3 linked regions of the Astyanax mexicanus genome follow. Each later gene encodes a partner of the first gene's protein in a complex. Links are inferred from orthologs where the notes say so. Each region holds a gene or a part of one and is shown in the gene's direction. Other genes may lie near its edges.

Region 1 (8,001 bases):
TGGTCGCTTGCCGGTGGAGCGTCTCAGTATACAAATCTAACTGTTAGCTCTTTCAAAGTCAAACGAGTGCTGGATATTAATCTACACAGATTCCTCTCCTGAAAACTGTTTATTTGGGTGAGTAACGTGCTTCAGTTTATTTACAGTAAGCTTAGATTTCCAGATGTCCACTAAGGCTTGCTGCACCAGTGTTAGCATAGCTATCCGCTAGCACGCTAGCTAGTCACCTAAACTAGTAAAGTTAACCCAAACTTAAACGACAGCGTTACACTGAGTAATCCTGCGTGTTCTGGTAAGACAGTGAGATATTAGCTAGCGATTCGTCCCCCGTAGCTTGTTTTAACACGGTAAACAAGCAGATTACAGGCTGATAAAACTCACCTCTGAGAGAGTTAGCGCTTAGCATCTAGCTAATGCTAGCCAGGCAAAGCAGCACAGACTTACAGGCCGATAACTCACCTTTGAACGGTGAACGCTTAGCGATTAGCATCTAACTCTAATAATACTGCTCCAGCAGTATTAAAAGTGCTAAATTTAGAAAATACTGATCTCTGAACAGTGAAAAAGCTAGCTAGCTAAGCGGTTAGCATCTAGCTAATGCTATTGCTGCTCCGGCCTCAGAGCGGCACGGCTCTGCACGGAGTGTGTGTTTACTGCTCCTTACACCTGACGGGTAAAATTTAGATAATACTGATCTCTGAACAGTGAATAAGCTAGCTAATGCTATTTGCTGCTCCAGCCTCGGAGCTGCACGGCTCTGGACTCTGTATAGCACTGAAACTCTGTATAACGCTGCACGGAGTGTGTGTTTACTGCTCCTTACAACCTGACGAGTAAAATTTAGATAATACTGATCTCAGTGAATAAGCTAGCTAGCTTAGCGGTTAGCATCTAGCTAATGCTATTGCTGCTCAGCCTCGGAGCTGCACGGCTCTGGACTCTGTATAGCACTGAAACTCTCTATAATGCTGCACGGAGTGTGTGTTTACTGCTCCTTACAACCTGACGAGTAAAATCCATACAAAAGGCGCACCGTATTATAAGACGCACTGTCAATTTTTGTGAAAATTAAAAGTTTTTAAGTGCGCCTTATAGTCCGAAAAATACGGTAATCAGACTACGAAGGAACACATAAGGAATCATGTAGTAACTTAAAAATAAAGTTAAATAAACCAAAATGTGAAGTATTTAGATGCTCTTATCTGGGGAGCTGTTTGTTAACTTGTGGTTTATGATGCTGGTAACTCTGATTAATTTATCCTCTATAACAGAGGAAACTCCTGATGAGTGCCAGTTTCATCAGTATAATGTTTTTGATGGTTTTTGTGGCGACTGCGCCTGAGTATACTTTCAAAGTTAATAAAATTCTTCTTTTCGGATTGACTGACCTTCATTTTTTCTTAAAGTATCTTTTTCTTTATTTAGTTGAGTAGTTGTTGCTTCTCATAATATGTATTAGAGTACTACCTCATAAAACTGACTGAGAAAATGCAGCAGAGTGCAAAACTGGTAATCTAAACAACAGGAGGAGCTACTTTAAAAATAAATACTAAATAATTCCATATGTTTTTTTATAGTTTGGATGAGTTTAGTATTAAAGCAGCACTAAGTAGGATTTTCTTGATTTTTTATCTTTTTAAAGAAGTAAAATTACAGTGTGAAACTCACTGCAGCGCTGCATTGAGGTGTAATAGGAGGAATAACGGTGCTCTCGTGTCTGTGCCGAAGCGCCTCTGAGCTCAAACCAGACTGTAAATTTTCTGAGGCGACCGCGAACAACGCTCGCAAGAACTGCGACCTGCTTTCCGACCTTTAGTTCTAACAGTTCTACAAGGACTACTGGTTCATTCTTTACAAACTAACATACAGACACTCTGGCAGAAGCTGGAAAGAGACCCAATATGTCTGTAAAAGCCAGAAAACAAGAAAGAGAAACTAATCCGCCTGAAACATTTATTACACTCTGCAACTGTAGGGGGAGCCCACGATCACAAAATCTCAATCCTACCTAGTGGAGCTTTAATCTACAATGCAGAACATTTTAAATAATGTAAAAAACATTTAATTATCATAAATGACACTACTTACTGATTCCTTTGGATTTGGGAGCAATTTTTTCAATGTCCTTCAGTTGAAAAACATCCTTCTGAAAAAATAATAATACAGTTTTAATCAGACAGTCACTGCAGTGGAAACCAGTTGGGGGCTTCTGTCTGCCTCCCAGAGCTGTAGAATTACAGTATGAGTCCTAACTAAAGCTGGAATTAAAAATCTCCAATAATTTAGTTATTTTTTAAAGAGAATACATCAGAAACACTGTAAATTTAACTGACAGTTTACTTAAAAAAACTAAATTAATTTACTTACTGTTTCAAAAAATATCTCCATCATACGAGACCTCTTCTCTTCCAAACTGAGTCCTTTCTTCTTCGACTGTTTCAGAGAGTAAAATTTTAGTAAAAACTGACATTATTAGGCAGATGACAACGCAATCTTAAAATCAACAAACACTAATAATTTTTATTATTTACATTGTGGCCAAAATAAAATTTCAAAAAGACTTAAAAATAAAAATCACCCAGAAGCTTCAGCCAGTATTTTCTTCCAGTAATGATTTCTTTTATGATATATTGTTTTAGGCTTTTATATGGTTTTAGGCAATTACGTGAATATTTTCTCCTTATTGATGTGTAAACTGCTCTTTTATTATTTTAAGATACTAAGTTATTACTTTGAGATACTATCTCACTATTTTGAGATGCTTCCCATTTTTAAGGGACTAATAATAATGAAATTTATAACGAAATAGCCTTTCAAAATAATGACTTTGTATGTCAAAAAAACAACTTACTTATTTCAAGATACTGTGTAATTTTGACATGCTATCTTGATATTTTGAGATACTAAGTCTTTATTTTGAGATATTAAATCTTTATTTTAAGATAGTAAATCTTTATTTTAAGATAGTAAATCTTTATTTTGAGATACTAAGTAATTATTCAGCGATACTAAATCTTTATTTTGAGATACTAAGTCTTTATTTTGAGATACTAAGTCTTTATTTTGAGATACTAAGTCTTTATTTTGAGGTACAAATTCTTTATTTTGAGGTACCAAGTCTTTATTTTGAGATACTAAGTCTTTATTTTGAGATACCAAGTCTTTATTTTCAGATACTAAGTCTTTATTTTGAGATACCAAGTCTTTATTTTGAGATACTAAGTCTTTATTTTGAGATACCAAGTCTTTATTTTGAGGTACCAAGTCTTTATTTTGAGGTACAAATTCTTTATTTTGAGATACTAAGCCTTTATTTTGAAATAAAGAAAGAAATAAAAACAGTATTATTGTGATTATTGTTTTACTGTTTGCTGTACTCTACTATCTCTGATATAAAATGATTAAGTTATTTAATTAATTTTAATGAAAAATGAAGACCGTGTTCCCGCCCGGTTTCGAACCGAGGACCTTTCGCGTGTTAGGCGAACGTGATAACCACTACACTACGGGAACTGATTACCACGTACAGACACTCCAGCCTTTAAACCGGTGGAGTAAAATAACATTTTATACGATTTATATATTTTAAATCACGTTATAAACACAGTAAAACACATAAAAACAAACTCACCTTTCACTGATTTTATCTGTTTAAACTAAAAGACTAAGACAAAACACCACAACCTGCAGTAACTAATAAACTAACGTTACACCAACAGCGGCTGTATTTAAGAGAACTCTGACTACAAATCCAGCAGATTAATAAAGTTTTTAAACTTTAATATAGATCGTTATTTATACTAAAGCGATGTGAGGCCTATGGTTTTCTCTTAGACTGTTAATTAACGCTGTTGATTTAGCTAAAGCTAAAAACAAACCCAAACAAACCACGCACCTAAAACTACCTAAAACTGTGTTTAATATCACACAATCCGCTCATTTTCACCTCCAGTAAAATGTTTTATTACTGTAAATCTATTAAAGTAGATATTAAACACAGTATTAAAGTCCTACCATTTTTAAATCACTCCTCTGACTGAAGCTCCTCTGATTCAGTTCTCAACCTGCTCCACATTTCCCGCCAACTGCCTTCATTCCTATACCGGAATCGGTTCTTTTCTTAGAATCATTCGAACCGAATCAGGTTCACAGGACACCATAGACTGTATATGCAGGACACAAACATTTCAGCCGGATTTTTGAATCGGTTCTTTTCAAAGAATCATTCGAACCAATTCAGTTTCACTTATGAACCTGAATTTATTATCTGCATGTACATGACACAAAAAAAATCTTCTGGATTTTTGAGTCAGGTTCAGGATTGAACCAGGGTGTATTATATACATATACAGGACACAAAAGATTGAACAGAATTGGTTATTTTTAAGTTTTATTATATACAGCTCTGGGAAAAATGAAGACACCACTTTAGTTTATGAATCAGTTTCTCTAAGTTAGCTATTTATAGGTTTATGTTTGAGTAAAATGAACATTGTTGTTTTATTCTATAAACTACGGACAACACGTCTCCCAAATTCCAAATAAAAATATTGTAATTTAGAGCATTTATTTGCAGAAAATGAGAAATGCCTGAAATAACAAAAAAGATGCGGAGCTTCAAATAATTTTAAATAATGCAAAGAAAACAAGTTCGTATTCATACATTTTAAGAATGCAGAAATCAATATTTGGTAGAATAACCCTGTTTTTAATCACAGTTTTCATGCATCTTGGCATCATGTTCTCTTCCACCAGTCTTACACACTGCTTTTGGATAACTTTGTCATCTTGTTGCACAATCCAACCAGTTCAGCTTGGTTTAATGGCTTGTGATCATCCATCTTCCTCTTGATTATTTTCCACAGGTTTTCAATTTGGTAAAATAAAAAAAATAATAATTTTTGAGTGGTCTCTTATTTTTATACAGAGCTGGAGGTTACAGTAGGGGGCAGCACTGAGTTTATACCGCCTCTCTCTCCGCGCTGCAGGCCGGAGTTTCCGCCGCCGTGTTTCCGGTGTGTGTGTGAGAGTGTGTGTGAGTGTTTAGCGCGGTGTGTTTAGTTTTATACAGGGAGTTTAAATCGAATTCTGATCCGGATTCAGCTTTAATTCAGAACTACTGACCCAGAGCAGCAAAAGCAGCAGCATGGCGGAGGTAAGGCGGTATTATTATTATTCACGGGACAGACCATAATACTCTCCTCTCTATTCACTACACCCAGTTCTACTCTCACCTCTTTAATAAAACACTTATTATTATATATAATTATTATAATACAGACCACAATACTCTCCTCTCTATTCACTACACCCTGCTTTACTCTCACCTCTTTAATAAAACACTGATTATTATACCGGTTATACAGTAATCTGTTACATAATCACACTTAAATAACCAACAGATCCCGTTATTAGTGTATTAATATTCACATTAATAACTCAACTAACTAACGTTCCTGTTTTTTAAGCTTAACACCAGCATTACATTCGCTTTATAACTAGAGAACACTAACTTACTCTAATTACCTTTATTCTCTGTTCACTGAGATATGTGTCTGATGTTGGCCCTTTAAACAGGTTCAGTATAGTTTTGTTCATTTTCTGAGGAGATCTATCTATTTAAAAAGAGACACAGCCACTGGGGGTTAATGTAGAGTAAATAAAGGATTAATCTGGTGTGAAATGGACTTGGGTTGTAGTGAAACATGATAATGATTATAAACTTTTGTAGAATACCCCACCTCTGTTCTTCCTTAGCATTCCCAAATACAGCACTTGCTGATGCTCCCAACAGGCTTACAAAATGCTAGAGATTAGGGCTGCAACTACTGACTACTTTAGTAGTCGAGTAATCTGCTGATTATTTGTTTGATTAGTTGATTAGTCACGATTATTTCTTGTCCTGCCCTCCATCTGTACTTCCTTCTAGTGAGAACAGCTAAACATTTAGTCCCCAAGACCAGCTTTGTCACTTATGTATTTTTTTTATTATTATTATTTTTTTTTTACTATTTTTCAAAGATATACCTCCCCAAAAAGATTTTGTCTCAGAAAATAAAGGTTTCTTTTTTATTAAAGTCTGTAGTTACTCTAATATATGACTTAATTTTAATGTAGTGTACAGAGGACATTATCTGTCTCTAACACTTATCCATGTTAATGAAGGAGTGAATCCTGTTTAAACTCTCCTCAGCAGTTCTCTGCAGTAATTTAACATTAACCACGGGTAATATAAAGCTCAGTGTTTAAACTGTACACAACCAGTAAAGACAGACTGTAGAGTTTTTTGTGGAGTTAAATGTGTTTAATGTTGTGTTTAATGGAGACAGAGCTGCTATTACACTGTATACTTGTCTCTCTCCTGCTCTCTCTCATGCTTTGCAAGTCCCACCCATACTGAAACCGCATTGGATAAATAAGCATGAGGAGAGGCCAATCAGAATACTCAGGATTTGTCACTCTTACTCAACAATGAGACTCTGCAACAACTACATTCTAGATAAATATGTTAAAGGGTTTAAAATGGCTCTCATTCTACTTTATTACAAGTAACTTAATTTATGGACTTATCTGATTGGATATTTTTGTATGTGTGGATTACTTGGATTGTTTCCAAAATCTGCTTGAAATTTCATGTCAGTCGCCCATCATCAAAACATTGATTCATTCAGTATTTTTTCTTGAGTTATATACTCTGCCTGTTATATAGCATCTGCCTTATTTGAATCAGTTTTGTGTCTGTTGTGTCTGCAGGAGGTGCAGAAGCACTCGGTCCACACTCTGCTCTTTAGATCTCTGAAGAGAACCCATGACATGTTCGTGTCTGATCACGCTAAACCAGTGTCCCTGGACGAGGAGAGGTGAGTCTCTGGCTTTAAAAACCTGAAAGATGAGCGTGGTCATTGGATCTATGGAATAAGGTCATGTGAAGGTCTGATGAGTCCAGATTTGCACTGTTCTGGAGTGATGGAGCATCAGGGTTAGAAGAACTAGAAGAAATCCAGAGTCTGATATTTACTCTCTCTAGCAAACTGAAGCATTTTTAGATGAAAAATGATTTTTTTTTTTTTATGGCTGTGTGAACGTGCCAAATCAGCCTTTTTTTAAATTAGATTTGAGTCACTTTCATAACGGTCAAATCTGAATTTATGCGTCTTTTTGCTTTTACGCATTAGTATTAGCATTAGCCCTACATGCTTCTCTCTCGTACCCACACTGCATCTCTTGGTGCAGCTGTGCAGCTATAGCTGCAAAATCAGCAAAAGCAAACCTCCTGGCCTTTTTTCTCCTCCTGGACCTGAGCATGAACTTCAGACCAGCTGTTTCTCTCCACTCTCCAGTTAAAGATGCTCCACATATGATCTGCTAACTCATCCATTTCCCTTTATAAAGCTACTAGTTTCTTGTCTCTCTAATATGAGGGTTTTTTTGTTGTTGGTGAAGAAGGAGGCATTTATACAGGTATCAGTGTGCAGCATGTGAGGCGTTTCTGGTACAGATTTGTTCACATTACACACAGATACAGATCACTTACATTTACAGTGAATGTGAACCATCAGGATAAACAAATCTGATCTGAGCAAAAAAAAATCTGATTTAAGCAACATGGCTTATAATGTGAACGTAGCCTAGGATGTTTTCCCTGCTTGATGCACGCCAATAATTTGACACGATCGCGGTCTATGTCTTTCCAAGTATATGTCTTTTAGAATAGCTGTATTTGCACATTAATGAGTTTACAAATGTTTATATAGAATTTTTTTCAGTGTATTTTCAATGTATTAATTATGGACCTGTGAACTTGTTTCCTCAGTCACAAGATAAAGATGGCTGCTAAGCTAAGAGCTGAGTATGGACCAGTGTTACACATGCCCGTGCTGAAAGAAGTCCGGGGAAAACCTCTTAACTCCTCTGATCCATTGGACAACCTGGGATACCCAGCAATCGGTGAGTGAGTTTTTTTTAGAGACACAGGAATGCACAAACATAAGATGAAAATTA
Region 2 (7,427 bases), on another chromosome or scaffold:
GCAGTCAGAGTTTGTCACCAGGCTCTCACAAATGAGTGATGCGAGTAGTCTGCACTCAAAATACTTTAACATGCTGAAGTCTTCAGATTACTTGCACTTAATAAAATTGCATTGACTTCCATTGAATGGTAAGGGTTTTTTTTTTGGTAAATTTACCATTTTGACTGAGGATTTGTGGGTTTTGGTGAATTTACTTGTTCATATTCTTATTTCTCTTAAAAAGTAAGTTGTTAATTTAAATAAAGGTAGGCATTAATGCTTAGCCAATTATAAATAACCTAGAAGGCAGTAAAAAATATCTGAGGTAATGATTGTGTTTTCCACAAAAAAATAGAAGAGGCAAACTGGAAATTGCAGACTTAAACTCTTAATAAACTCTTAAAAGACTTAATAAACTCTTGATTAGGTAACATAGCTTTTATTCTGTGTCTGTAAGCTTTTAGAGAACATGTAAAAAAAACGATAAAATTAAAGCACAGTACAGATAAAAGCCTCCATCTGTATTTATGCTCATTTTCGCTCAATGTTAAATGTGGATGTGGATATGGATGGAGCCTATTGTCCATATATTGCATTAATTTAATCTGTATTTGTGCACATTATATAAAAGTTTACGGATACAGTCTGAATGTAGCACTTCCAATGGAAACAGTGGAGACAGTGTAACCAATAATTTATATAAAAATAGACCACTGCCAAATGAGCACTTATAAATATGATTCTACACTTATAAGAATAAACAAACATAAGTTCACATTATAGAAAAGTAACAGCCACATGTTTTTATTTACTTTCTGTACAAAATCATAATTGCATCAAAAATACACTAAGAAAGGTTACCTTTCCACCAGCACAATAAACCTCCATAAGAGAACATAGCTACCAATGTCAGGAGAAAGATTCACTGCTTAAACAGTAACATATCTATACACGGCTCTGAAACTCCCCTAGTCTTTGGGTATTTCAGATCATAATTATTTTAATTAAAATCTGCCGCAAATGTCTGAGCCTTTACGTTCATAAGAAATGCTGGTCCTGGTGAGCCGACATCAAAAATAACAACATTAACATCTCAGTCTGTGTCTGAAGATCCGCTGGAGCTGCTGGATGAGGAGGTCTGTTTAAGTTTCTTCTTGCTCTTTTTCATACGTCTTTTCTCTTTCTCTTTTTTTTCCTTTTTGCCTTTCTTCTTATGGCTCTTGTGCTTTTTCTTTTTTTTGCTCTCCTCTTCCTCCTCCTCCTCATCATCATCATCACTAGATGAATAAGACCTGAATCAAAGTAATAAGAAATTAATAAAACATAAATGACAAAAAAACTTTCTATTGTTATTTTTTATTTAAGGCAAAATATATTATTAAAAATGTTCTTTTTATATATTTTTAAACATTTTTATAATTTCAGATAAACGATTCTTGTGCGACAGGGTCATGTCAGCAAATTACTTATAAAAATGTATAATTTTACTTGTAATAATAGAAATATATATATTTACTGATTTTAAGAATGTTAAGAATATGTTATGGTAGTTTACATACTGCTCTCTCATTTTTTTTGGCACAACAGTGTAAATATTTTGCAGTGAATTTTACTTATTAGAGTATGTACAGCTAAAATATCTTCCACAATTCACAATTAAAGCCCCTATTGACACTGAGAATGTATACCTAATGTGAATTGTATATTATAATTATATAGTTATATACACATTGCTTTTATTAAATGAAGTAAAAATTTAATGAGATCAAATCAAATCCCACAAATTTCAAAACTAGTCCTAAAATAATTTCTTTAAAAACATCTCAGCAACTCAAGGTCAGCTTCAGAGATGCACCCTAACTGACCACTTAAGGTAAATGGTTATCCATTAACTGTCCATTAACCTCTGAGAGGATAAAAAAAAAAAGAAAAATATGTGGCATCCAGTCCAGTTATTTTTTTTTCCACATTTAAAATGGTACCACTTTATATTTTTGCTTTACTTTATTTGCACTTTAAAATAAATGTTTATTGATATAAAAACACAATCTATGATATTTTCATATTTCCTATTGTTACTATTATAAATACAAATTACAGTTTCAGCTTTGCTTACAACACATTGAATTTAACCTTCTATAAATGTATTTTACAGCAACAATATGCAACATTTTTCTGTTAACATCAGTATGTTATTATCAGTAATATAATAATATCAGTCAACACTTTATGCTGTATACAATACTGTAACAGCTGTATCAGTAATATAAAATGGCATACTTCTCCAGATATGCATTTAAATAATAAAAAATGTGTGTTTGGAAGTTTTGCAGATTGTACCTCTTTTTTGCTTTACGGTGGGATCTTTCTTTACTTTTCTTTTTGTGCTTTTCCTTTTTTGAGTCCTCCTGAGAACCTGCAGAGGAAGCAAATATCAAACTCTGATTATCAGCATTCCTGTCATTTTCTACACTTTCCATTTTAGAGTCCAGAAATAATTAACACTATAGCCATCAGTGATTGCAAATCTAGAAAAAAGTTATAGTTAAGCAGATCAAACTAATTATCAAATAATGCCCAAACCTTTAGAATTGCTCCCAAAGATCTTCTCCTTGCTGACAGCCGCCTGCTCTTCTTCCTCGCTCTCTTCAGTGCTTGTGCTGCTAACGTCCAAAACGATGTCCTTCCTGGGGTCCACTCGCACAAAGTTACGACACTCGAACGTCAGGTGACCCGCTGGCAAAGTAAGGAAATCATTTGTTTTGCAACAATAAAGAATTACAGTAATAATGCTAATTAAAAGCTGAATACAAAGTAAATATGATCCAAACGGATCATTCTCAATACTTACGATAGCCACATCTTTTACATCCAGCTCGAATATTATCCTTATTAACACCTGTTTAAAAAACAATTATAAACCCATTAGTAAAGATATGCAGTACTAGTCAAAAGTTTTAATACACCACAATTGTTTAATTGTCCAGAATATCTTTGGACTTTATAACTTGTTTGACAGTAGACCAACACCAGCAGATGACATGCCTCTCCAAACCATTACTGATTGTGGAAATGTCACAGTAGATCTCAAGACTGTGTGTCTCTTCACTCTTCCTCCAGACTCTGGTCCCTTGTTTTCCAAAATGAAATGCAAAATTTACTGATGATCAGTGATGGTTTGGAGAGTCATGTCATCTGCTGGTGTTGGTCCACTGTGTTTTATTATCCAAGTCCAAAGTCAGTGCAGTGTTTTCCCAGAAAATCTTACAGCACTTCATGCTTCCCTCTGCTCATAACTTTTATGGAGATGCAGATTTCATTATCCAGCAGGACTTGGCACACTGCCCACATTGCCAAAAGTACCAATTGGTCTTTTATAATATTTTAATTTTCTAAGATATTGACTGTTGGGGTTTTCATTGGATGCAAGCCATAATCATCAATACATCTATATTATATATGAGCTTTAAATTTTGAACTAAATTACAGAAATATAGTAACTTTTCATTGAAATTTTTATTTTGATGCACTAGTATATGTACAGCTCTGGAGAAAGACCACTTAAAAATGATGAGTTTCTTTAATTTTACCAAATTGAAAACGCAAGATGGATGATCGCAAGCCATCAAACCAAGCGAAACTGATCCAACCCCAACTGCGAAACTGCTTGACTTTTTTGCAGCAGGAGTGGCATTAAGTTAAACAAAAGCAGTGTGTAAGACTGTGCATGAAAAATGTGATTAAAAACCAGTGTTATTCCACCAAATATTGATTTCTGAACTCTTAAAACTTTATGAATATAAACTTGTTTTCTTTGCATTATTTAATAATTTCTTTGCATTTTATTTGGAAGCAATGTTGTCTGTAGTTTATAGAATAATTTTGCTCAAACATATACCTATAAATAGCAAAATCAGAGAAACTGATTCAGAAACGGAAGTGGTCTCTCCAGAGCTGTATATACGCACTAGCGATGAAATAGTGAACGTTTATTTAACGTTTTTTTTGCTGAATATGGTAACGTTAACTAACTAGTGAGCTGGCTAGTTATCTAGCTAACCTAGCTTTACATAGTTGCTGTGAGAACAAAAGCTATTTAAGATAACCTAGCTATTTAACTAAAAGGGATTTTTTAACAAGGCAACGTTTAAATGACACCGTGCAACATTCATATATGTATTTAATAAATATGATCAAAACTAGTGCGCTAACTAGCATCAGTAGTTAGGTTAACTAGCTTAGCTCAGCTAGTTAGTTAGTTAATAGTTATCTTAGCTACATATAGTTTTGTATAGGAGCTGCTACTGTAAGCCTAGCTAAGCTAAGCTAAGCTAAGCTAACCTAGTACTGTTCCAGAATGTTCCGGGCGCGCGCTTCCCGCCAAAACAGGAACAAACGGGGTAAACCAGCTAATCTAAGCTAGTCAGATCTGTAGCTAGTTTTACATACCTGGAACAGCCATTTCAGCTGAGTATAGAGATTTTAATGTGAAAAAAATGCAGCTCGTCCTCAAAACACAACAACACACACCAGGCTCTTCTCCTTCTTCTTCCTCTAGTAGCTTACGGTGAGCATTACCGCCACCCGCTGAAAGCCGGGGAACTTACACACAGGCGTTTATTCAATATTCCCTTTGGCTCTGATACTGACATTAGGCTGTTATCTATGTTATCAATTTACCTGATAATGTCATACATTTTACTTGTATTAGTCTGTTATCAGTGCATTAGGTTCAGTTAGCACTGCAATAGGCAATAATAATGCCTGATATATGTATAATAATGCACGTATAGTACAGATTGCCTTTAGTCAGCAACTATATTTAAACTATTATTAACATGTTAGATTAAGTATTCTAACTCTGTGCTCCAGGCATTTGAGCTTATTATATAAGAGAAAGTGGAAGATGTGCATCCTAATAGGAGGCGAATATTATGGTAAAAAGCCTGACCCAGCATTATACTCATTATATTTTTCTCCCTATAATGACCCACATGTAAGGTTTGTATGGTTGTTAGCGTTTTGTAGTTTGCCACCAGAGGTCTAAACAAGCACATACACACTTTTGTTTATTCAGATATGCACCACATTAGTGTACTCTCAGTTTAAGTGAATCCCTAATACATAAGTGAGGAGTTGAAGACAGGCACACAAAAACACTAACTGTGTCAGTCCCTCAAGGTCAGGCTCTTTTAAAAACACAGTAGTGTTTCAATTAGCTTTTAAGTAGCATTTAAAGTAGTCTTAATCAGTTAACGTAAATCAGGTTATAAATGAACCCTTATTTTTAAACTTCTCAATGTCACTGCTGGACTGAAATAAGTCTACCAGTTGTTGTGTCCCGTGGGTAATGTATGTAGAAACAAGGAGGTGGTTATGATGGTATTCTTGACCAGTCTTTGATGTGTAATGATAACAATGGTTTTAAAATGTGATATTTTGTTCGTTTTTAATATTAAAAGATTTGTTGGAGAGCCTACCCACTTCCTATAATTTCTATCAGAAAATGACTGTGAATCGCTAGAGGGCACCCGCGAGTGAGATCAAAATAAATGGGGGTGAATGGAGCTAAACCGCTACAACTCAAAATAAAAATAGTAAGGTAATTTTATATATATATATATATATATATATATATATATATATATATATATATATATATATATATACATCTCCGGTACATTCCTTTAATTTTGGAAGTCGGAATAGTGTATTTTGCTAATAAAATATATAGAACTCACCTGTATATTTTATATTTTCTACAGTAAACTCACTTGGGTGCGCCCTCTGGTGGTTAAACAAACCTTTCTATTATAGAGATTCTCTGGCATAACTATCTTGGGCCTCTGAACTGTAGGTTGGTTCGCTAGCTTTAGGTGGCAGCAGTGCGGTTAGCAGTGTTTTTCCCCCAGTCAGGATGTTAAAGAAGGAGAAGTCTAAGCTGGCGGCGGTGTACAGGATTTATTAGAGTGATATTTTATGTTTATGCGAGTTTTTTGCCGTTTATTATCGTTTTTTTTTTCAGTACGGTAGCTGGCGTCCTACTAATACTGCTTCAAACATGAGCAACATATACATCCAGGAGCCTCCGACTAGTGGCAAGGTGCGTAGCCAGGGAGCTAACTAACCTAACCTAGCCTTAGTTCACTGAGTTTTGTTTCTTTAAATATAAAAAATAAATAATATGACGAACAAACAAGGTTATTTCCCAAACACCGCCCTTTAGTGTGTGTTTCTGACTCACTGACTGTCTCAAAAAACTGCACTGTACTGTAACTCTAGTTAGTTACTGGGTTAAGTTAGCTAGCAAAACATAAATATTCAGCATTAAGGCTTGGCGATATGGCCCTAAAATAATATCACGATAGGGTGCTCAGGGTGTTTTTGCTATATTTTTTGACGATATTACAAAACATTATTTAAAAAAACCCCAACATAATTTCAACTATGAATGTCCTAATCACATCACAGGCCATTTAAACTGACATAATGATAATAGAATAGCATAACAAAGCGTTTCCATATTTTTAAAGACAAAATTTGTAATTAATCATAGTTCAGGATGTATAGCTATACTTTGTTTTTACCTAAGTTACTGCAGTCAACAATGTTTGTACTGTGTGGAGTCTCAATTTTTAAAACATTGGTCATTTAGCATGACTAGGTAAAATACTGTTCACTGTTAAGTTATGTAATATATGTGAACACATATTCACATAATAGAACACAATAGATTTTACAACAATTAAATATTATTGAGGTAATGTCCATTTAGTTTATGATAATCACAAGTTTTGTCATTAATTACTTAAATCAATTTGTGTTGCCAGTTTAAACTTATCCAGCTCCAGGCTTTGAGACCTGTTCAACAATGCTAGAAATCTGATCCTGATACCTTAAGAGCCTCCTATCGCTCAGCCATTTTATGCAACCAAAAAAAAGTAACGTTTCTTCAATGTTCTTTGCTATCAGGGGAGATTAGCAATCTGAGACAATTTTTAAAACTGTCTCCATTTTATTTTTCTTAAAGGTTTTAATTAAGACCTCTGCAGGTGATATTGATGTGGAGCTGTGGTCAAAAGAAGCTCCCAAAGCCTGCAGAAACTTCACTCAGCTGTGCATGGAAGGTAAGTCTAGCATATTTAGTCTTTTTACCTCTTTGACATTCCTTTATGTTTAAATGTGTCTGTAGTAGTACACTTCATTCTCAATTTAAAAAATAGCTTCCCCAATTTAATAAATGCAAGGTTTGGTTGTTAAACGTCAATCCAACTTTCACTGGCTCTGCAGACTAAGATGCTCAAGTCACAGATAATGCTGCTTTGTGATCAACAGCCGGAGTCTAAATGTCCTGGAGGACTTTCTTGCACTCTAGCCAGTGCCTGTGGGACAGTGGGCAGTGAAACAAATACTATGTTAGTAATGTACATGTTATAAATTTTCTTCTT
Region 3 (6,948 bases), on another chromosome or scaffold:
GTCTTTTAAATATCTCATGTTAAGCTGTTTCTATTGTTTCTATTGTTTTTAGAGGTGGAGGACATGGCAGAAATATTCGTTGACTAATAATCATTAGCTTAGTTGACAAATAAAATGATCTGTAAAATGTATCTTTTGTTGTGGAGTCATTAAAAAAACGAACCAAGCTTTTCTATCCAAATTCACAGCATATATAGGACTTGTTGAAAATCACATATTTTGAGCCTCTTCTCTTCTGAAATAATAAATTGCCTCTTTCTCCCATTTATTTATTTATTTATTTTTATTTTATGTGTAGAATGAGATTTTTTCCATTATAAAACCCTTGAGGTCTTTAACATTTGTATAAATTTTGAATTTAAAAAGTTTAAATTGATTAAATTAGTTTTAAATTATTTTTTTTTGCCGTTTTTTCCTAAACCTGTTGTTCTCTCCCTGCAGTGGAGTGTGATCTGAGTGCTCTGGTGTCGGAGGCGTTTGTGCGTTTCTTCGTGGAGCTGGTGGGACATTATTCTCTGCACATTGGCGAGACGGGGACGAGCAGCGGCGTCCGCGAGCTGAACAGAGACACGTTCAGGAAGTCTCATCCGTCCCGCAGGGTCCGCCAGTTCCTCCAGCTCTTCATGGACACACAGATGTTCGCTGGCTTCATCCAGGACCGAGAACTCCGCAAAGGGGGCGTCAAGGGTGAGTGAGTGATCCAGGGTTTGGGGAAAAAAAGTTCTTGTGTGTGAAAACAAACCAGCAAGCAGCACAAACAAGCCAAGAATTGGTCCTGGGTGTGTTCTTAAGGTCTTAAGGAGCTAGTTTAGTTTTATCTTCATTACTAACCCAGCACATATATATATATATATATATGGTCATGGAGACGTCTGTGAGTCAGACGTCTCCATGAGTTCTTTTTTTTTTTTTTTTTTTAGTTGAATGTGTTTTAGTTTAATGTGTTTATGGGTTTCTAACAGGCCTGTTTGAGGTCAGAGCAGCAGAATACCTCGCCTCCTGCCCCGAACCCGAACCCAGCGGAGTCAACAAATTCCTGAAGGGACTCGGTAAGATAGCGTCTTCACCTCCACCAAAAAAGGAAGCATTATTTCCCCCTCTTTCCTCCCTGTGTGACAGTTTGCTGTGTTTTAGGGAACAAAATGAAGTTCTTGCAGAAGAAGTGAGGGATTGCCTAACGCAGAAGGAGGCCGGCGTCGAGCGCCGAGTGACGAAACCCGGCGCAGGAGGCTGTGATTCAGCGATCAGGCTGCGGCGATCCCGTTCCTCTGAGAAAAAGAAGCGATCAGAGGGGCGGAGAGACGAGAGAGACGAGAGGTCGAGCCCTGAAAACGCTCCTGCTGGGAGCGCCTGTGCAATTTCAATCGGTTGAAAAACTGGAAATGGACTTTTGTAAACAAGCAACAAAGAAGGACTGAATTAGAGCGGGAGGAAAGGGAGGAGGAGGAGGAGTGTGTGTCATGTTACTGTTGTGTAAAGCAGAAAGCTTTGGATTCGTGTCGTTTGTGCCGGATTGTGTCGATCTGTGAGCTAATGAAGTAGTTCTCTTCACACTAACCCTGATCTGATCTGATCTGATCTGATCTTTCTTCGTCTTTTCTGTGACTCTCAAAAAACAGGACATTTTTATTTTACATTTTTTCTATATTTTACTCCTCGTTCTTTACTCCCAACTGCTTTCCAAACTGGAAAGTATTATTTTTAGAGATAAATATAAATGATTGAGATGAGGAGGTGCTTCTCATCTCCTGCAGAAGTTGTGTATATTTATAATTCCTCTGAGGCACACTGATTATGCTTCTCGATAGATTTTTAAAAGTCTCTAATTATCCTTTTATCTTATTTTTCTTTTTAACAAACTAAAAGTTTGTGTTGTATAATGTCTGCGACGACATATTTCAAAATGCTTTTATATTTGACATTTTGTACAGTTTTATATGTGTGTTTTGTATAACCAAGGAGCTTTTTTTTTGTCTTTTGTGACTTTTTCAAATTAAATGCTTTCATATAAAACCTCCTGTAATCATTTAGTCATTTGGTGTGTGGGAGCTTTTTGCTGATGCAGAAGTTCCTGTAAATGCCTGATTTACGTGTGATAAAGGCTTTGGAAAAGCTGGCAAATCAAAACTGGCAAGTAAGGGCTTCAGGCATTGTAATTAACATTTCATATGCGCGAGCACTGGCTGTGTCTCAAATCAATTACTTGCTCCCTATGTAGTGAATAAACCTTTCCTAAACTCAGATTTTCAGGGAACACAAAAACATATTGCTGTTGTTATTGCTGTATAAAATTTAGCAATGGTTTAAGAGAATAGTTCTAATTTAACATTTAAAAAATATTGATTGAAAAGACAGAACGTTAGCATTTAACATTTTTAAAGCCACAAATTGTAGAATTTCCAGCTAGCTTTATGGACTTGGTAATTCTGCTGACTAAAAAAACTAAACAACTACGCAATATGTATAAGCAATTAATCCTTTAAAAAGAAGAAATAAACTATGGGTGATACATAATATGAAAGAAATAATATATTAAAGAATCCAGTACTGTTAATAATGCTTTAAAACAAACTATAATTGTGTATATATATGGTGCTTAATTATATGTAAACATTTATAAGTAAAATATTGTAAAATAACTGTAAAATGGTGAATATATTGATTATAAAAGGGCGGTGTTAGTTCAATATAGTGTTCCATCTCTTTTTTTAAAGTCAAAAAAATATATGTTTTTTTACCTGAAAATTTAAGTTTATTCATATAAAACCTGGTATAAAGTTTATGATAAGGGCAGGATCCTCATAAACCTGAGAGGCTGCCCACTCCCTGTCTGCACACCACTAGAGGGAGCCCGCGAGAGAGTCTCAAATATATGGGGGTGAATGGAGCTAAACGGCTAAAAACTCAAATTAGAAATAGTTACTAACCCCTTTTCCAGGATATTCCTTTATTTTAGGACAGTAGAAAAGTATTGTATTTAAAAAGCAAAGAGCATTACTGCTACTGTGAGCTGATTGGTTGGTGAGATGATGATGCTGGAAGTACAGTCAGCGCCCTCTGGTGGCAAAATTTATATATTTTGTTCTCTTTTTCCTGAACAAAATTAATCATAAATGAACTGTTATATAAAACAATTATTGAAAATAAACAGACAATATAAAACTGACAAAATAAGAGAGCACTTAAAAATGATACGTTTCTTTGATTTTACCAAATTGAAAACCTGCTTGAATTTCTGCACCAGGAGTAAAGCAGCATAAAGTTATCCAAAAGCAGTGTGTAAGACTGGTGGAGGAGGAGAACATGATGTCAAGATGCATGAAAAAAACTGTGATTAAAAACGAGGGTTATTCCACCAAATATTGATTTCTGAACTCTTAAAACTTTATAAATATGAACTTTCTTTGCATTATTTGAGGTCTGAAAGCTCTTAATCTTTTTTGGTATTTCAGCCATTTATCATTTTCTGCAAATAAATGCTCTAAATGACAATATTTTATATGGAATTTGGGATAAATGTTGTCTGTAGTTCACAGAATAAAGCATCAATGGGGGGTCTAAATATTATAAATATTATCAAAGCTTGGTGTATCTCTGGATTCTAATATCTACAAACTAGCTATGGATATTTTGAAGTAAAAAACGGGCTTCTGCTAAATACCCTGAATATAATGTAAATGAGTGGGGTAATTTTCTTTTAATTTAAAAAGTTTTTTTTTTTTTCGCATTTTCAGATTTCATTAATTGGGACTTGATATACAGTTGAATTTTATTCTAGTAGCATGTAAAAAAATATTTTTTTTTTTAGTAAATTTAGAAGTATGAATAAAAACTTGTCCAAAATAAAGAAAACATTTATATTAAGTGAAATTCTCTGTAAGAGATTCTGTGGTTCAGGTTGAAGGGTATATTCTGGCTGGGATGGGTGTTTTTCCTCCAGGCCTGCGGGCGGCGCTGGTTCCGCTGCGGGGTGAAGGGCTCAGGCGGGCGGCTGCGCGCTGCTGCTGCTGGAGCCGCTGCGGGAGAAACATGGCTGGAACCTCGTCGGTAGCCGGTGAGGTGTTCGTGGACGCGCTGCCGTATTTTGATCAGGGTTATGACGCTCCGGGAGTCCGGGAGGCGGTGAGTACCGGGCGGGGCGGTAACGGAGACCCGGGGCTGTTTAGTTTAGTTTAATTCAGGCTGCGGATCTGTGAGTTTAGAGGAGACGCAGCGTGTTCTCCCTCCTAAACAACAGCCCGGTGTTGCGTCCAGTTACGCTACTCGCCGATACCTGCTTTCCAAAGGCAGTGCGCATGCGCTGACCTAGAGTTATTATAAATTTTCCTGTTTTTTATTATAATAAATCTGTTTTTGTCGTGTCTTTTGTGTTTTAAACAACACGAACTGACTCATTTCATAAAAGTGTAAACGAAAATTAATAATAATAAATACAGTAGCCAGTTTATAATAACCTCCCATTGCCTTAACTTTATTATAATAAAGTGATTTATGCTATTCAAATATACTAAATCTACATCTACTGGAATTTCTACTGAAAACAAGCTCTAATACGGATTTTCTGTTAAATATACACTTGGGTAGCAGGATTTGATATGGTTGCACAATTCGACAGAACACCGGCCTGAGCTGCGCTTCCTAAAGCCGAGTTACAGCCTCTAAACCACCGGTTATATACTCTGTATATACGCTGTAGTGGTGGGCGGTATGATCATATATCATATATCACGGTATTTTTCAAGATTTAAATCATAGATTGAATATCAATGTATTTCTTTATTTTTCTATGTTGGATTTCCAGTGAGTGCATGCTGGGAATTGTAGTACCAAGTTTAACACAGCCAGATCAACGAGGCTGCATATTATTCCACAATAAATAACAGATTAAATGCTAGTTTTGCACCCCTATAAAGTAAAAACAAGTACTAATAAAACAGCAATTGTGATTAATTTACTAAAAATTATAACAGCCTGTACAGTCAATAACACTATATCCTTCTATAACTGATGAACATGTTCTGTTTCCAGGCTGCAGCCTTGGTGGAGGAGGAGACCCGGCGATACCGGCCTACAAAGAATTACCTGAGTTACCTGCCAACACCTGATTTCTCTGCGTTTGAGGTAAATAGATCCTGATCCTGTTTCTATTCACAGATTCTAGTTTGGCTGTGACTCACCTGGTTGTGTGTTCAGTAATATTATCCATAATTGATTGATCGATCGATTGATTGATATAAGATGTTCAGTAGTGTTATTATTTTTATTTATTTTTTTTTTTCCTGCACCCAAAGACTGAGATAATGAGGAACGAGTTTGAGAGGCTTGGTGCTCGCCAACCTATGGAGCTGCTCAGCATGAAGAGGTAGGAGATCCTGAATAACAGATACAAAGACCAGTGGGTTTAGTATATTGTGTGAAATATATTGGTATTTTTGAAATAGGGCTGGATAATGTGCCAAAGATTTATTATAAAATAATTCTTAACTTCAGTTGATACAAAAAACAGCTGAAAAAAGTACTTTCTCTTATCTTTATTGAGAAAAACTATTCACTAATACTTATTTGTAAGTGGTAAAAGTATGTGAACTTTTGCTTCTCAAATTTAATAAAAAGGCTTTTTAAAAAAAGGGAGGAGTAGTTTGCGAAAGAGGGACTGGGTGATGTATGGGTTTAGGGGTGTGGGGCAGGAGGAATTCTCGCCTGTAGCACAGTTGAACCTGAGGGGGCGCTGCAAAGGCAGAAATGAAAACAGAAACACAGCTATTATTGAGTTTTGTGGCTCACTGCCTCCTAATGTACGTAACTTCAGATACGAGCTTCCAGCCCCCTCATCCGGACAGAAGAATGACATCACAGCGTGGCAGGATTGTGTGAATAACTCGATGGCCCAGCTGGAGCATCAGGCCGTGCGAATAGAAAACCTTGATCTGATGGCCGAGTACGGAACCAACGCCTGGAAGTTTTCTAATGAGTACGTATTAAACTGTAGTAGCTTTTGACTTTTAGTTTTAATTATTGTGTTTTTTTTTTATAAAGTAAAACTGTATGTTTATTTGCATCTCTTATTTCTGTTTAACAGTAATTTGGCTTTCATGATTGAAAATGCACAAAAGGAACTGCAGAAGGTTCGGTAAGTAACTGTTGGTGTGTGTGAACAAATGATCTTTAATAGAAAAGTCTGTTTAACTTGGTGGCCATCTTCTTTAAAATGGTACTGGATCTGGATAAGTGGGGAGAGACTAAAATACTCAACTTAATGGTAAAAATAAATATATATTAAAAATTGCATTAGAGAAATCTCATTAATAGTTTCTAGCGTTTGGTATAATAATGCACAAAAAAATGTTTTATAGCTTTTTTTTTTTTTTTTTTTTATGTTTGGTAGCTTTTTCACCAACCAGTAAAATGATGGGCGGGACTTTATCTGTAAACAGATGCCATATTGGTAGTTGCATGAACTCTTTTTTTTTTTATTTTATCCAGTTTCTGATCTTCTAATTTATACCATCTCTGTTCTGTATTTTTATTTAAATATTTTATTTTTATTTCAAATGTAGCAGATATTTCTAATTCTAAATAAAATTTCAAGCAAATTTAATGAGGAATCTGGCATGAAATAGGTTTCCTCCAATCATCCCCAGCATTGAGAAATAAAGCACTTTTTGCAGATGCTCCCACCAGGGTCACAATGCTAGGAATAGGGGCATAGCATCTGCCTGTGCAAAAAAAAAAAATCACTATTTACAACCTTAACCAAGATCAAAGTAGCTCCACACTTCACTGATAGAATTCTGAGGGCTCTACATTTAAAATGAGGCAATGAGAGCTTTAAAAGTGCACATATATGTTTATTAAAACACTGTTTGTTTATATAGTGTTTAATAAACTGTAAACTATAATTAATACACAGTGTTGTGCTGCAGTGCTTTTCTCTGGGGATTATATGGG

What was found.
Region 2: plrg1 (region 1) and cwc27 share a complex: the UniProt entries of both Homo sapiens proteins name them as parts of the minor spliceosome. The link is inferred for Astyanax mexicanus from reciprocal best matches to the Homo sapiens genes PLRG1 and CWC27.
Region 3: plrg1 (region 1) and bcas2 share a complex: the UniProt entries of both Homo sapiens proteins name them as parts of the PRP19-CDC5L splicing complex. The link is inferred for Astyanax mexicanus from reciprocal best matches to the Homo sapiens genes PLRG1 and BCAS2.

The regions. Positions count from the first base shown.
Region 1 is NC_064432.1:13,738,408-13,746,408, reverse strand, and holds the start of plrg1 (pleiotropic regulator 1), read left to right. Parts: upstream 1-4,991; 5' UTR 4,992-5,146; coding exon 5,147-5,155; intron 5,156-6,753; coding exon 6,754-6,860; intron 6,861-7,813; coding exon 7,814-7,947; intron 7,948-8,001. Other genes in the region: mnd1 (meiotic nuclear division protein 1 homolog), read right to left, coding at 2,089-2,146, 2,368-2,433, 4,015-4,017. UniProt on the Homo sapiens protein: Involved in pre-mRNA splicing as component of the spliceosome. Component of the PRP19-CDC5L complex that forms an integral part of the spliceosome and is required for activating pre-mRNA splicing.
Region 2 is NC_064427.1:22,653,992-22,661,418, forward strand, and holds the start of cwc27 (spliceosome-associated protein CWC27 homolog), read left to right. Parts: upstream 1-4,418; 5' UTR 4,419-4,428; coding exon of another isoform or gene 4,429-4,441; 5' UTR 4,442-4,546; exon of another isoform or gene 4,547-4,554; intron 4,555-5,845; exon of another isoform or gene 5,846-6,004; 5' UTR 6,005-6,040; coding exon 6,041-6,082; intron 6,083-7,009; coding exon 7,010-7,106; intron 7,107-7,427. Other genes in the region: protein SREK1IP1, read right to left, coding at 1,073-1,271, 2,320-2,395, 2,563-2,715, 2,831-2,878, 4,429-4,441. UniProt on the Homo sapiens protein: As part of the spliceosome, plays a role in pre-mRNA splicing. Probable inactive PPIase with no peptidyl-prolyl cis-trans isomerase activity. As a component of the minor spliceosome, involved in the splicing of U12-type introns in pre-mRNAs.
Region 3 is NC_064419.1:2,129,586-2,136,533, forward strand, and holds the start of bcas2 (pre-mRNA-splicing factor SPF27), read left to right. Parts: upstream 1-3,939; 5' UTR 3,940-4,029; coding exon 4,030-4,122; intron 4,123-5,028; coding exon 5,029-5,121; intron 5,122-5,291; coding exon 5,292-5,362; intron 5,363-5,809; coding exon 5,810-5,971; intron 5,972-6,079; coding exon 6,080-6,130; intron 6,131-6,948. Other genes in the region: dennd2c (DENN domain-containing protein 2C), read left to right, coding at 442-687, 963-1,049, 1,135-1,166. UniProt on the Homo sapiens protein: Required for pre-mRNA splicing as component of the activated spliceosome. Component of the PRP19-CDC5L complex that forms an integral part of the spliceosome and is required for activating pre-mRNA splicing.